Linked DNA regions of Schizosaccharomyces pombe. The protein of the gene in region 1 purifies or fractionates together with the protein of each later gene. This does not show direct contact. Each region holds a gene or a part of one and is shown in the gene's direction. Other genes may lie near its edges. The genes, in order: mad3, apc14, apc13 and hcn1.

Region 1 (3,465 bases):
GTTGAATGCTAGGTAAGATTCCTACTTTATCGTCTTCTTTTGTTATTTTATTAACACGTTGTGTACAGTTTTGGAAATGCCATCGAGCTCATTGTAGGCGTTCTTGCTTTGAAAAGAGGAGAGCTCCGCATCGTTCAATCGTCCCTTCTCGGATCAATATTATCCAACTTGCTTCTTGTTTTTGGAATGTGTCTCGTAACTACTGGTATTCGTCGTGAAATTACCACATTTAATATCACTGTTGCACAAACTATGATTGCAATGCTTGCTTTATCTACTGCTACCATATTGATTCCTGCGACTTTCCATTACAGCCTTCCCGACAACGCTAATAGCGAAAATGCGCTTCTCCATGTCTCTCGTGGAACTGCTGTTATTGTACTCATCGTCTATGTTTTACTTTTAGTTTTCCAATTAAAGACTCATAAGCATGTCTGTCATGATCCCAGTGAAGTGGAAGAAGAAACTGAACCTCGAATTTTAGGCCTTCGTTCATCCATTGCCATGCTTGCTATCGTCACGGTTTTTGTTTCTCTTTGCGCAGACTATTTAGTAGGTTCGATAGACCAATTGGTTGAGGAAGTTAACATTTCAAAAACTTTCGTTGGTTTGGTCATCCTTCCTGTTGTAGGAAATGCTGCCGAACATGTTACTGCAATCGTGGTATCTTACCGAGGACAAATGGATTTGGCTTTGGGTGTTGCTATTGGTTCCAGTATTCAGATTGCTTTGTTTTTAGCTCCCTTCTTGGTAATCGTCGGATGGATCATCTCCCAACCTTTAACACTTTACTTTGAATCATTGGAAACAGTTATTCTATTTGTGTCTGTTTTCTTGGTTAATTACTTGATACAAGATGGTGCTACTCATTGGCTTGAAGGTGTTCAATTACTTGCTTTGTATGCGATTGTTGTTCTCGCCTTTTTCTACTACCCTCAATAAATTTTGTCGTTCCCTCGCTAGTTCCTTATTATGTCTACTCTTATGTGCTTGATATACTCTCTTGATTTCTTTGTGTTTTACTTTACGAAACTATCATACCGAACTTATTGATTTCTTATTTTTTTATACTAGATTTTTTTTTTTTTTGGTTTCTGTTACAAGGATATTTTGCAGACTTATTTTTTAGTATGCAAGTGTTAAATTATGCAGAAATCTCCCATTTTCGCAATGACTACACAACTCTAAATTTCTATTGCAGGTCAAGCCAATATCTGCTTGTTTACAGTAGCTTTTTAAGTCGCTCATTCTTCAGTCTCAGTTTCATGTGTCTTACCAGCTATGAAAATAGAAAATTAATTTTTGAATAAACTCTTGTAAATCGTTGTTTATAAATCTTCATTTTGTTTATTTTTATTAGTTGTTTTGTAGGTTGTGTTTTACATGATTTAATAATACAAGCCATTAGTATGTGAAGTGGTTAATTTTAATTCTTCTTCTGTTTCTGTATATTCGAAGAAACAGAAAAAACTTCTTATCTCTTTCATTGGACTCTTCCAGGCGTAAGTATGATACCCTCCCCCAGCGTCAAGTTGGCACTTACCTTCTAATTTACGCACAATCTTTCATACATTCCTACTCTTGCTCTTTGAGTGTTGACACTTTTAATTTTATACAAAAGCTTTCAGTACACCTTCTATTAAACTATATACTGGCTATTTTCGTTCTTTCAATAGAATTGTACTTGTCTAAATAAACTTTCCAATACTACTACACTCACATCTCCTTCTTTGTTTTATTTATTTTCATTTAGTGGAAGGTATAGGGTTCTCTAGAAAAGGTTTACTAATTTTTTGGAAGACATTGACTACAAATGGAACCATTAGATGCTGGCAAGAACTGGGTGCATATGGATGTCATTGAGCAGTCCAAGGAAAACATAGAGCCTAGAAAAGCTGGTCATTCAGCTTCTGCACTTGCAAAATCTTCGTCGCGAAACCACACCGAAAAAGAAGTTGCTGGTCTGCAAAAAGAAAGGATGGGCCATGAACGAAAAATAGAGACGAGCGAGTCTCTTGATGATCCACTACAAGTTTGGATCGATTATATTAAATGGACCTTGGATAATTTCCCTCAAGGTGAAACAAAAACTAGTGGACTGGTAACATTGTTAGAAAGGTGTACTCGAGAATTCGTACGAAATCCGCTTTATAAAGATGATGTTCGGTATTTACGAATATGGATGCAATATGTAAACTATATAGACGAACCGGTTGAATTATTTTCTTTCTTGGCACATCATCATATTGGACAGGAGTCCTCGATTTTTTATGAGGAATACGCAAATTATTTCGAGTCTAGGGGATTGTTTCAAAAAGCTGACGAAGTTTATCAGAAAGGAAAAAGAATGAAGGCTAAGCCATTTTTGAGATTTCAGCAAAAGTATCAGCAATTTACTCACCGTTGGTTGGAATTTGCCCCACAATCATTCTCTTCAAATACAAATTCGGTTAATCCTTTACAAACGACATTTGAGTCAACAAATATCCAGGAAATATCCCAGTCTAGGACTAAAATTTCTAAACCTAAATTTAAATTTTCTGTTTATTCAGATGCGGATGGTTCTGGAAAGGATGGCCAACCTGGGACCTGGCAAACTCTTGGTACAGTTGATCAAAGGCGTAAAGAAAACAACATATCGGCTACTTCTTGGGTAGGCGAAAAGTTGCCTTTGAAATCTCCAAGAAAATTGGACCCTCTTGGGAAATTTCAAGTTCATTGTGATGAGGAAGTATCGAAAGAATAACCGATAAAGAAAAGATTTAAAGTATTGGCGTTATTAGATTAACAACTATTGTACATCATGACTCCCGGAATAAGAAATAGGTTGAAACATGCGAATTTTAAGGGTTATACGAACTTAACATAAAGCATCTTATTTATACTACGATTTGCAGCTTTTTTTTATATTTTACTCTCAAATTAATTATAGTCAGCCATAAGTTAATGAATATGATATAAATAATTCTTTTATAGACAATTTATCAAAATAATAAACAGATAGCTCGATAAGTAATTACACCTCTATACAAGTAAAGCTAAGACCCCTTAGCTATAAATATTTTAACTAATGAGAAGGCCCCTCAAAAACCACAGAAGCAGCTTTGCCCAAACGATTCATGATAGCTAGCCCTTCATTTTCCTCGGAGACACCTTCAACCAAAACAAAATCAACTCCCTGCAGATCCAAATCTCGCAATTGAGCGAATAAATTCTTTGTAATTTCATGTCCATCCCTTCCCATATGCAAAAATACAAACGGACAGTGAGAAGGGAATGACTCTTCGTTCCAACGTTTACTACATAAAACACCAATCTTCTGCTTTTCCTTAGTGATTCCCTGCTCAGATAAATACTTTTCAAAAACACCGTATGCATCAGATTCTGTGTAATTGACAAAAAGTAGCACTTTGGCAGTTGGAGAGTAGTGTCTGTATTTCATACCAGGAGTTTGAGGGATGAAAT
Region 2 (3,143 bases), on another chromosome or scaffold:
TATTTTCTTTTAATAGATTTGCTTTGTGATGACATTGAAGTATTGCTGAGAGTGTATGCGTATTCTATGTTTTCCATGTTTCTATCATTTATCTCTGGTTAAATATCTAGACCGCTAAAAAAATCCCTTTCTTTCTCATACGTTGAAATGTTTGATAATCAACCTACGATAGCTTTGCTGAGGTGGCTTCATAAATGTATGTATAAAACGACTTCAGAGTTGTTTCACTGGTATATAATTAAATATTACATCAAAAATTTCCTTAATTTATTACGAGTACCCAGTTAAATAAACGTGTATTTTATTAACTTCTAAAAAGATGTGAAATTTGAAATAAATGTGATATTATGAAAAATAAGGAATCATTCCTCAACATGATTTTCAAAGTTTTTCAGTAAGCTCCGGGACGATTTCAAATAAGTCACCTACAATTCCCACATCTGCTGTTTGAAAGATAGGAGCATTTTCATCGCGATTTATAGCAGCAATGACTTTGCTATCTTTGATTCCGGCAAGATGCTGAATAGCACCATCAATTCCAACAGCAATATAAAGCTTTGGGGCGATGATTTTTCCAGTTTGACCTATTTGTAAAGAATTATCAGCATAGCCAGAATCCACGGCAACACGTGTAGCACCAATTGCTGCACCCAATTTGTCAGCCAAAGGTGTAAGGATGCGTTCAAATGTCTCTTTGTCTTTCAAAGGTCGACCACCAGCAACAACTCTTTCGGCAGAAGACAAATCAGGCCTAGCATTCTTTATAATATTCTCACTAACCCATTCTTGTAGAGCAGCTGGTTTTGGATCAATACCTTCAACAACAGTGGCTGCTCCTTCACCACTTGAAGGAGCGGCGTCAAATGCAGATGCACGAACGGTGACGATTTTAATAGGATCCTTTGTAGACACAGTAACGTTTACGTTTCCCGCGTATGTCGGACGAACGAATGTGTCAGCAGAAACCACACCAATAATGTCACTAATCTGCATCACATCAAACATAGCAGCCAAACGAGGCATCACCCCTTTACCAACAGTTGAATGAGCAGAAAAAACATGACTAATTTCATTTTTCTTAACATTTTCAAAAAGAACATTGGCTATTTGATCGGGAATGTTATGCTCATATGACGGATTCTCAACGTAGATAACCTTTTTCAAATCGTTCACCGATTTTGCTACCTTTTGAGAAATTTGAGAAGAATCCTTACCGATTACAAATCCAAAAACATCCCCACCGGTACGCTTTGCTGCTTCTACTGCTGACAAGGATGCTGGAGACAAGTTCCCTCCCTGATGCTCAAGCAACGTCAAAACACTAAACCAATGCCTTCTTCCACAATTTATTTTAAAGTTAGAAGAAGACAAAGCCCTAGAAAATGTCCGGCTAGTAGTCCTTAGCATGTTAGAATACTTCGTTGTAGGTTTGAGGGTGAATGAGGATGTACGCTGACAATATGTATGTTCACATATTATACTAAGAAAAAACTTAAGTAATACAGTCTTACATTTCAAAGGTAAAATAACTAAAAATAAGTAATCGTGATATATTTAAGTGATTTATCTACCAGAAATGATTTTTCGTGAGTATGAAAACATCCTAATTTTCATATACCTTACATTTATTTTTTTTGATAACCAACTGCCAATATTTTGACAAATTCTTTCAATACAAAGTTTAAAGTCTATAGCGATTGCAATAACTAGGTGCATCATTAAAAATAATAATAATGAAAATTCTTTTCAAATAAAAAAAAATATGAGAAACTCAATGTATCCTTCTTAGCATTACAGTTATTGAATCGTTCATCAACGTTAAAGTTCACTAAGATATTAGGAGACAAAAGGTGACTTCACTATTTTATTTTAATAACACACTCCACATTCTTATACCACAAGCATTGCTTTCTAACGATGGCAAGGAGTTTTGTTCAACTACGCACACAAGATAGTAAATAAACAAGAAAATCGGTGAAATTTCCTAATCACTTGTCCAAACCTCTTCACTTACTGCTTAAATACAAAAGAGATTACAATTTTCATATTTAAACGGTTCTCTTTTAAAGAAGAACAAATCAATGATTGAAGTCATTGTCTCTTAGTACTCACGGGGGTTTTTTTTACTTTTGTATATTAAAACGTTTCGAGGTCATATGGATCCGTTTGCTGGTACTGGTCAGTCCAAAAGTTATCGAACTTTTGGAAACGTCTTTCAAAGACTCTCCATGTCTGGCAACCCAAAACCTCTCGCCAAGAAACCACTTCTACTCCCTGAAGCTTCAAAAGCCATTGAATTTTGGAATTATCGAGATGTTATAGGTGGTGAAGAGGCCGAGCAAGAAAGAAATGAAAGGGCAAGTAGAATTGCAATATCCAGAATTGCTTCCAGCAGAAGTTCTATTCCAGAATACAGGCAAGCTATTATGCAGCATCTGACAAAACATGTTCAACAACTTGACCAGTTGGCTGAATGGTGATTAATGAGTTTATGATATAAATTCTTATCCTTTCAAACACCACATCACTAAACACTAAATTAATTCAAAATATTAAGAATAATTTCTGGCAATCTGTGTCTCAAGATAGTTTTCCGCTACTACCCTCTTGGTTGCAGCTTTCAGTTATCCTTTGCAAGTGTATCAATAAATTCTGCCAGCTTTAAATCTTTTTCTGTAAGTCCCTTTGTATCGTGAGTTGTCAACGTAATATCCACTTTATTGTATACATTAGTCCATTCGGGATGATGATTTAGCTGTTGTGCACGCAATGCGACACAGCTCATAAATCCCCAAGCTTCAATGAAGTTTTTAAAACGAAAGCTTTTAAATAGTTTTGTATCTCCTTGTTGAAGAATCCAGTTGTTTTTTGATTTCGAGACTAACGCCAGTAATCTAGCTGATGTGTTCATTTTTTCAACCTTCTAAACCAACGTTTATTCCAGAAAAAATGTTTTTCTTCAAAATTTAGGTAAAATATCAATGTGATGTGTGTAGAACGTAACTGTTTTAATACACTCAATTTACCTCCTTTTACTTTGGTATGTGAAAGAGAACGAAATCATATCGTCTTGTCTTATTCACAACATCAAAAGAGTAAATTTAGCTACTACGCTAAAAGAACCTCTTCTACAGAGGAGCATT
Region 3 (2,657 bases), on another chromosome or scaffold:
CAACGAGAATTGGCTGAAAAGATACAGAAGTTGCAATAGCTACTACCGATAATCCTCTGATTTCATCCATTAATGCTAATACGCGAATTCTAGCATGTTCAACGCTGCAATAGTCACCATAAAAGACAATAAAAAAAGAATTCTCTGCGTTCTTTTGACATGAAAATTCATGCCTAGTAGACTCTAAATGCCTTTGGTAGAAGCTTTGTTGTTCATTTAATCGATTGCTGAATCCGCTGTCAGTACGTAGCTGAAAATCGATATCATGACACATGGAACGATGCATGATATAAATTTTTGCTCCCGTTATTTCCGTTATTTTGTCCAAATGTTTCATAGTGTCTTCATAAACGTACCCATCTTCATCAAAAAGGAGGTTTTCGAGGGGTTCTTCGAGCACAAGTTTGCTGATTAGAATTTTGGGAATGGCTTGCAAAATCTTTATTTTTGCAGTGTACACATTTTTATAATTTCCTGAAACAGTAACCACTAGTTCATTGCGGGAAGATGATATGCTCATTCCTTTATGTTTGACATGTAGTTTTATATTAACTGGCAACTCTTTTTCTGTCTCAATGCACTTTTCTTCGGTTAATCTCCTAATTTGAGAGTAAATATCGCTTTCATAATAGTCACATTTACTAGCATAAAGGGATGCCTCTTCGGGAGGAGGTGTAGATGGATCAGGAATTGGAAATGCTAAAACATGAGAATCCATTTTGGTGATTTTAAGCACAAAATTTTCTTATTGTTAAATCGTTTGATTGGAAATTTCGAAGCTTAGTGAAGAGTAAGTTTTTCGTGTTCGAAAGAAAGATTAAAAGAAATCCAAAGGAATGATAAACGATATAGGTTTGAATACAAAATTATTCCGAAAGTTACTTCTGAAGGGTTGGTTGTTGGTTGTGTTGTTGCTTCCGTGAAAGTTATTGTTTAGCTTCCAAATGTAAATAAACAATGAATAAATCTTGGAATTGATATGCGATTGGCAATGAATGATAGCTTAAACTTTAATTTTTTGCTGAAAAATAAACAGAACGTTTTCGCAGAACGATGTGTATTGTACTAGTTTGACTGTGGAATACAAGTTTGTTTATGCAAAGGTAGACACATATATATATACAGCACATGACTCTAAGGTGATGCACTAATGACTAGGAATACTTTTAACATAACCATCACAATTTTGTATTCTTTTTACTAATTAGGATGGCTGATTTATGATCTGCCAAAGCCTCTTTAACTCAAAACAGTATATGATTTGCCATTGACATTTTTTCAGAAAAGGGGGAATATGATTATATGATTGTGAAATATACGCTTAATTTTTCATTATAACTCTGTCAGTATTGCTAGGGTTTTGGACACAATCATAGCTTAAGTAAAACATTGCACTATTAGTGTCATTCTTTGAAATTTGTAAGCTAAGCAAGCACATATATTTACCTTATTTATCAAGAAAAATAACATGCCAATAGGAATAAATAGATTAAGAGACGAAGGTTTTGAGAAGAATAGTAGCAAACCACCTAACTGATTTTTATTTCTACTTAAAAGTTCATAGAATTATGTGAATAAGAAATTAATCTAGAATTCTTATAATTGATTTTCATGGAAAGATCTCCCTCCCCCCAACTAGTAGACTTTGCTGCTAAATGCTTTGTTTACACACTTACCACCGACTTCTCCAATAACACCAACCGTATAAAAGCACCATAAGTCTCCTACTTGGAATCAGTAAAACAATTAATGGATTCGAATTACAATTATGTTCATATGAATAAACCGGGAGTAGTTTTGTTTGCCTCGGATTGGCTAAAAGATAGACTTCCAGTTGACGATGTCGAAGTGCGAGTAGAACACTTACCACCTGTTACAGAAGATGAGATGACTATTCAACATTCTAGTGCAAATCTAATCTTAATGAAAAACAAACAGCTTAGGCATGAACCGGCTTGGAAAGATTTGGAACTCGAAGATTTAGTTAATGCCTTTGCATTCATTCAAGGCTCTTCAAATGCCGAGGGTAAAAATACAATTGAAGATAATTTTGAAACAGATCCTTTCAAATCAGTCAAAGAAGCTCCAATGGCTCCTTTTCTTGAAGCGAACAGAAGGCATCAAGGAGAGCACGCTAGTATGCGGTATTTTAGATGATATACCTGAGGTTGTACGAACCAACAGTCGTTAATCCATTTCGGCTGTGAAAACTTAAATAAAGTCTACTCAAAAGTCATTGTATGTACACTTGTCCTAAAACGTGTACATTGACTTTGAAGTTTTTTATCGATCGATTCCACACTGATTATAGATTATCCAAACTTGCTATATCATTCTTTGATCAGAAAAAGAACAAGATGGCAGATTCGATACCCGTTAAGAAAAAAGGCTCAGCTAAAGGCCCTCCTTCGTTCGTAACGCCTGAATACATAGAGAAACAACGCCAAAAAAAACTTGAGAAAATGGGTATGAAAAAAAATTTTCGTTCATCTAGTCGAGCAACAATAAGAAGGTTGTTGTGAAACTTTTTTTAAGACCGAATCTCTACTCCTTTGTTTAATTTTTTGTTGCTCAATTTTATTAACTGATTATTAGCTAAGAAGGCTGCTCGAAAACCTATTGCTCCACCAAGCAATGCTCCACCCGAATTCAATACG
Region 4 (2,716 bases), on another chromosome or scaffold:
TGTCATTCTCGTGGTATAATGCATCGTGACGTTAAGCCTCATAATGTTATGATCGATCACAAAAAAAGGAAGTTACGGCTAATTGATTGGGGTCTGGCCGAGTTTTATCATGCTGGCATGGAATACAATGTTCGTGTAGCCAGTAGATACTTTAAGGGTCCAGAACTGTTAGTAGATTTTCGAGAATATGGTAAGTTGCATCCACTTTTGTTAAATATATTTACGTTTCTTTTTTCCTAACCAAACTTTAGATTACTCCTTGGATATTTGGTCGTTTGGTGTCATGTTTGCTGCTTTGATATTTAAAAAAGATACTTTTTTCCGTGGGCGGGACAATTATGATCAGCTAGTTAAAATTGCCAAAGTTCTGGGAACTGATGAACTTTTCGCTTACGTACAAAAATACCAGATTGTGCTGGACCGACAATACGATAATATTCTTGGTCAGTATCCCAAGCGGGACTGGTATTCTTTTGTCAACCGTGACAACAGATCGCTTGCCAATGATGAAGCAATCGATCTGTTAAATCGTTTATTACGTTATGATCATCAAGTAAGTTACCGAACCTGAAGGTTTTTACAGGATCTTATACAATCACTTATTTTTTTAAGTGGTATATACTGTATAGTTACTAACTTAGCATAGGAGCGTTTAACTTGTCAAGAAGCTATGGCCCATCCGTACTTTCAAGTACTCAAATAAGAACTGAGGGAAGGGACTATAACTCAATTATCTCTACGGACAGCCTTTTCATTACTAGTTCCCTTCATTTTCATAAAAATGAACCAAATCCAATTCTAGTTTTAATTCTGGTTCATGTTTTATTATTCTTTTCTTATTATTAGACTTGAGTATTCCTCTTCATTTACGTCGGTGATAATTTAAGCTAATATTTCTTGCCCAAACGTTATCATCTCCCACACGATTCCTCGAAACGGTTCTTGCATAAGTACATCCTACTATAATATTGCTTTCACGTGGCGGAGCCTTCCCACTACTTTTTCCCCGTACCTACTCGTTAGACACTTGGTCTACATAGTGTCTGTGTCTATTGCTTTCCCTTACTCAAATTAGAGTTTTTTTTATTTTTAAATGCTATCGGGCTTACTAAACAGGTTCCAATTCTATAGTTTTCTTTAATACTTTAAACGAGTTTTTACCTCTTTAGGTACCTAACAGCTTTATTAATAGTAAGTAACTCTGCGTATTATGCATAATGAATGCAATCTAAAGAAGCGATGGAAATGAATATGCGATATTTCATGAATGAAAAGTAAAGCCTTAATTAGAGAGCAACCTTACAAAACCTCTTATTCTGTAGCGTTAATCTTGCGCAGCTGCTCATCCTGAACTTGTTGAAGTTCAATGCTCAAAACAATTGCCTTTTGTAAATTCATTTTACTGTATTTAACACATATTAGAATTCATCATATTAAAAAAAATGATAATGTCATAAACTAGGGATGAACTTACAGGAATTCGCATTTATTCAACACTGATTCCAAATGAAACAGTATTTGCTTTTGAACCTCAGTCAGCATGCCAAAATTTGCACCAAAATCTAATTCAAAAGAATGTGTTGTGATCTTTGAATTCGGAAAAAACAACTTTACTTATCTTACTTGGTAAAGTATATTGTTTAACCAGGCAAATTTGTTAAAAAAGGAGTAGTTTACCTCTCGCTTTATGCGTATTTATGGTAAAACAAGTATAAAACACTATAACGCGGTAGCTCAATCTCTCGCTTTTAGAAAATACTTTACGCTACGATCCAAATAAATGGGTTAACTTGTGTATCGTCTACCAAAACAACACCTAAAACAGCGTGTTTTATCATTGCATTGCAACTAAGGTGAGTTTCTTTCTTCCTCTCTTGCTTTTTCATCCTTGAATGTAAATAAAATTCAATCAAGCTGAATATAAATTTAATAACAGACCACATTTGTGTACTACGTTTGTTAGTATCTCCAACATGTTACGAAGAAATCCTACGGCAATACAAATTACTGCTGAAGATGTTCTTGCATATGACGAAGAAAAGCTAAGACAAACGCTTGATTCCGAGTCAACAACAGAAGAAGCATTGCAGAAAAACGAAGAGTCAACACGTTTATCGCCTGAAAAGAAGAAAATTATTCGTGAAAGAAGGATTGGAATTACTCAAATATTTGATTCTTCAATGCATCCTTCCCAAGGTGGAGCCGCTCAATCATAGACCGTGAAACTAAATCATAATTAAATCATCAAATAATCGTTAGCCCACATTTTTTCGATTTGCACTGTTTTGTTAGCATTTCACACCTGCCTCCATACTGCTGATCTTTACATATAACTATTTTAATCGGCCATCATAATATGGACTACACTGTCTATGTTAATTTAATTAGTAAGATATACATCGATTGATAGAACAGTGAAGTTTTCGTTAAACAATGACCAGTCTCATTAACTTTAATCTTGCATACATTTATCCTAATGCTTCACTCCATCAATTATTCAACTTAAATTCTTACCCATATCAAATTGTCAAGCTATTTCATTTCTATTGTTACCAAGAGTATTTATAAAGGTTATTCGCAAAATTTATCAAATCTATATATGTATATGCATGTCGACAAAAAAAAAAGTGGGCTTTAGGAAAGAGGTGAAGGCGTGTGGATCAAATAGATAGTTTGCGAATTAATAATTAAGAGTAAATTCGAAAAGCTCACTATA

What was found.
Region 2: the proteins of mad3 (region 1) and apc14 purify together in Schizosaccharomyces pombe (affinity purification with mass spectrometry, with the first as the bait; one study listed by BioGRID). This does not show direct contact.
Region 3: the proteins of mad3 (region 1) and apc13 purify together in Schizosaccharomyces pombe (affinity purification with mass spectrometry, with the first as the bait; one study listed by BioGRID). This does not show direct contact.
Region 4: the proteins of mad3 (region 1) and hcn1 purify together in Schizosaccharomyces pombe (affinity purification with mass spectrometry, with the first as the bait; one study listed by BioGRID). This does not show direct contact.

Annotation. Positions count from the first base shown.
Region 1 is NC_003421.2:995,875-999,339, forward strand, and holds mad3 (mitotic spindle checkpoint protein Mad3), read left to right. Parts: upstream 1-1,541; 5' UTR 1,542-1,813; coding exon 1,814-2,746; 3' UTR 2,747-2,965; downstream 2,966-3,465. Other genes in the region: vcx1 (CaCA proton/calcium exchanger), read left to right, coding at 1-12, 69-942; SUA5/yciO/yrdC family protein Sua5, read right to left, coding at 3,068-3,465. UniProt on the Schizosaccharomyces pombe protein: Component of the spindle assembly checkpoint which is a feedback control that prevents cells with incompletely assembled spindles from leaving mitosis.
Region 2 is NC_003424.3:4,517,310-4,520,452, reverse strand, and holds apc14 (anaphase-promoting complex subunit Apc14), read left to right. Parts: upstream 1-1,945; 5' UTR 1,946-2,156; coding exon 2,157-2,480; 3' UTR 2,481-2,620; downstream 2,621-3,143. Other genes in the region: etf1 (electron transfer flavoprotein alpha subunit), read right to left, coding at 382-1,407; omt2 (4-alpha-hydroxytetrahydrobiopterin dehydratase), read right to left, coding at 2,621-2,911. UniProt on the Schizosaccharomyces pombe protein: Component of the anaphase promoting complex/cyclosome (APC/C), a cell cycle-regulated E3 ubiquitin-protein ligase complex that controls progression through mitosis and the G1 phase of the cell cycle.
Region 3 is NC_003423.3:1,834,388-1,837,044, reverse strand, and holds apc13 (anaphase-promoting complex TPR lobe accessory factor Apc13), read left to right. Parts: upstream 1-1,689; 5' UTR 1,690-1,749; coding exon 1,750-2,157; downstream 2,158-2,657. Other genes in the region: SPOM_SPBC28E12.02 (BICC1 family RNA-binding protein), read right to left, coding at 1-718; SPOM_SPBC9B6.11C (CCR4/nocturin family endoribonuclease), read left to right, coding at 2,241-2,466, 2,596-2,657. UniProt on the Schizosaccharomyces pombe protein: Component of the anaphase promoting complex/cyclosome (APC/C), a cell cycle-regulated E3 ubiquitin-protein ligase complex that controls progression through mitosis and the G1 phase of the cell cycle.
Region 4 is NC_003424.3:2,152,822-2,155,537, forward strand, and holds hcn1 (anaphase-promoting complex TPR lobe accessory factor subunit Hcn1/Apc12), read left to right. Parts: upstream 1-1,805; 5' UTR 1,806-1,973; coding exon 1,974-2,216; downstream 2,217-2,716. Other genes in the region: serine/threonine protein kinase Cka1, read left to right, coding at 1-190, 252-553, 647-703. UniProt on the Schizosaccharomyces pombe protein: Component of the anaphase promoting complex/cyclosome (APC/C), a cell cycle-regulated E3 ubiquitin-protein ligase complex that controls progression through mitosis and the G1 phase of the cell cycle.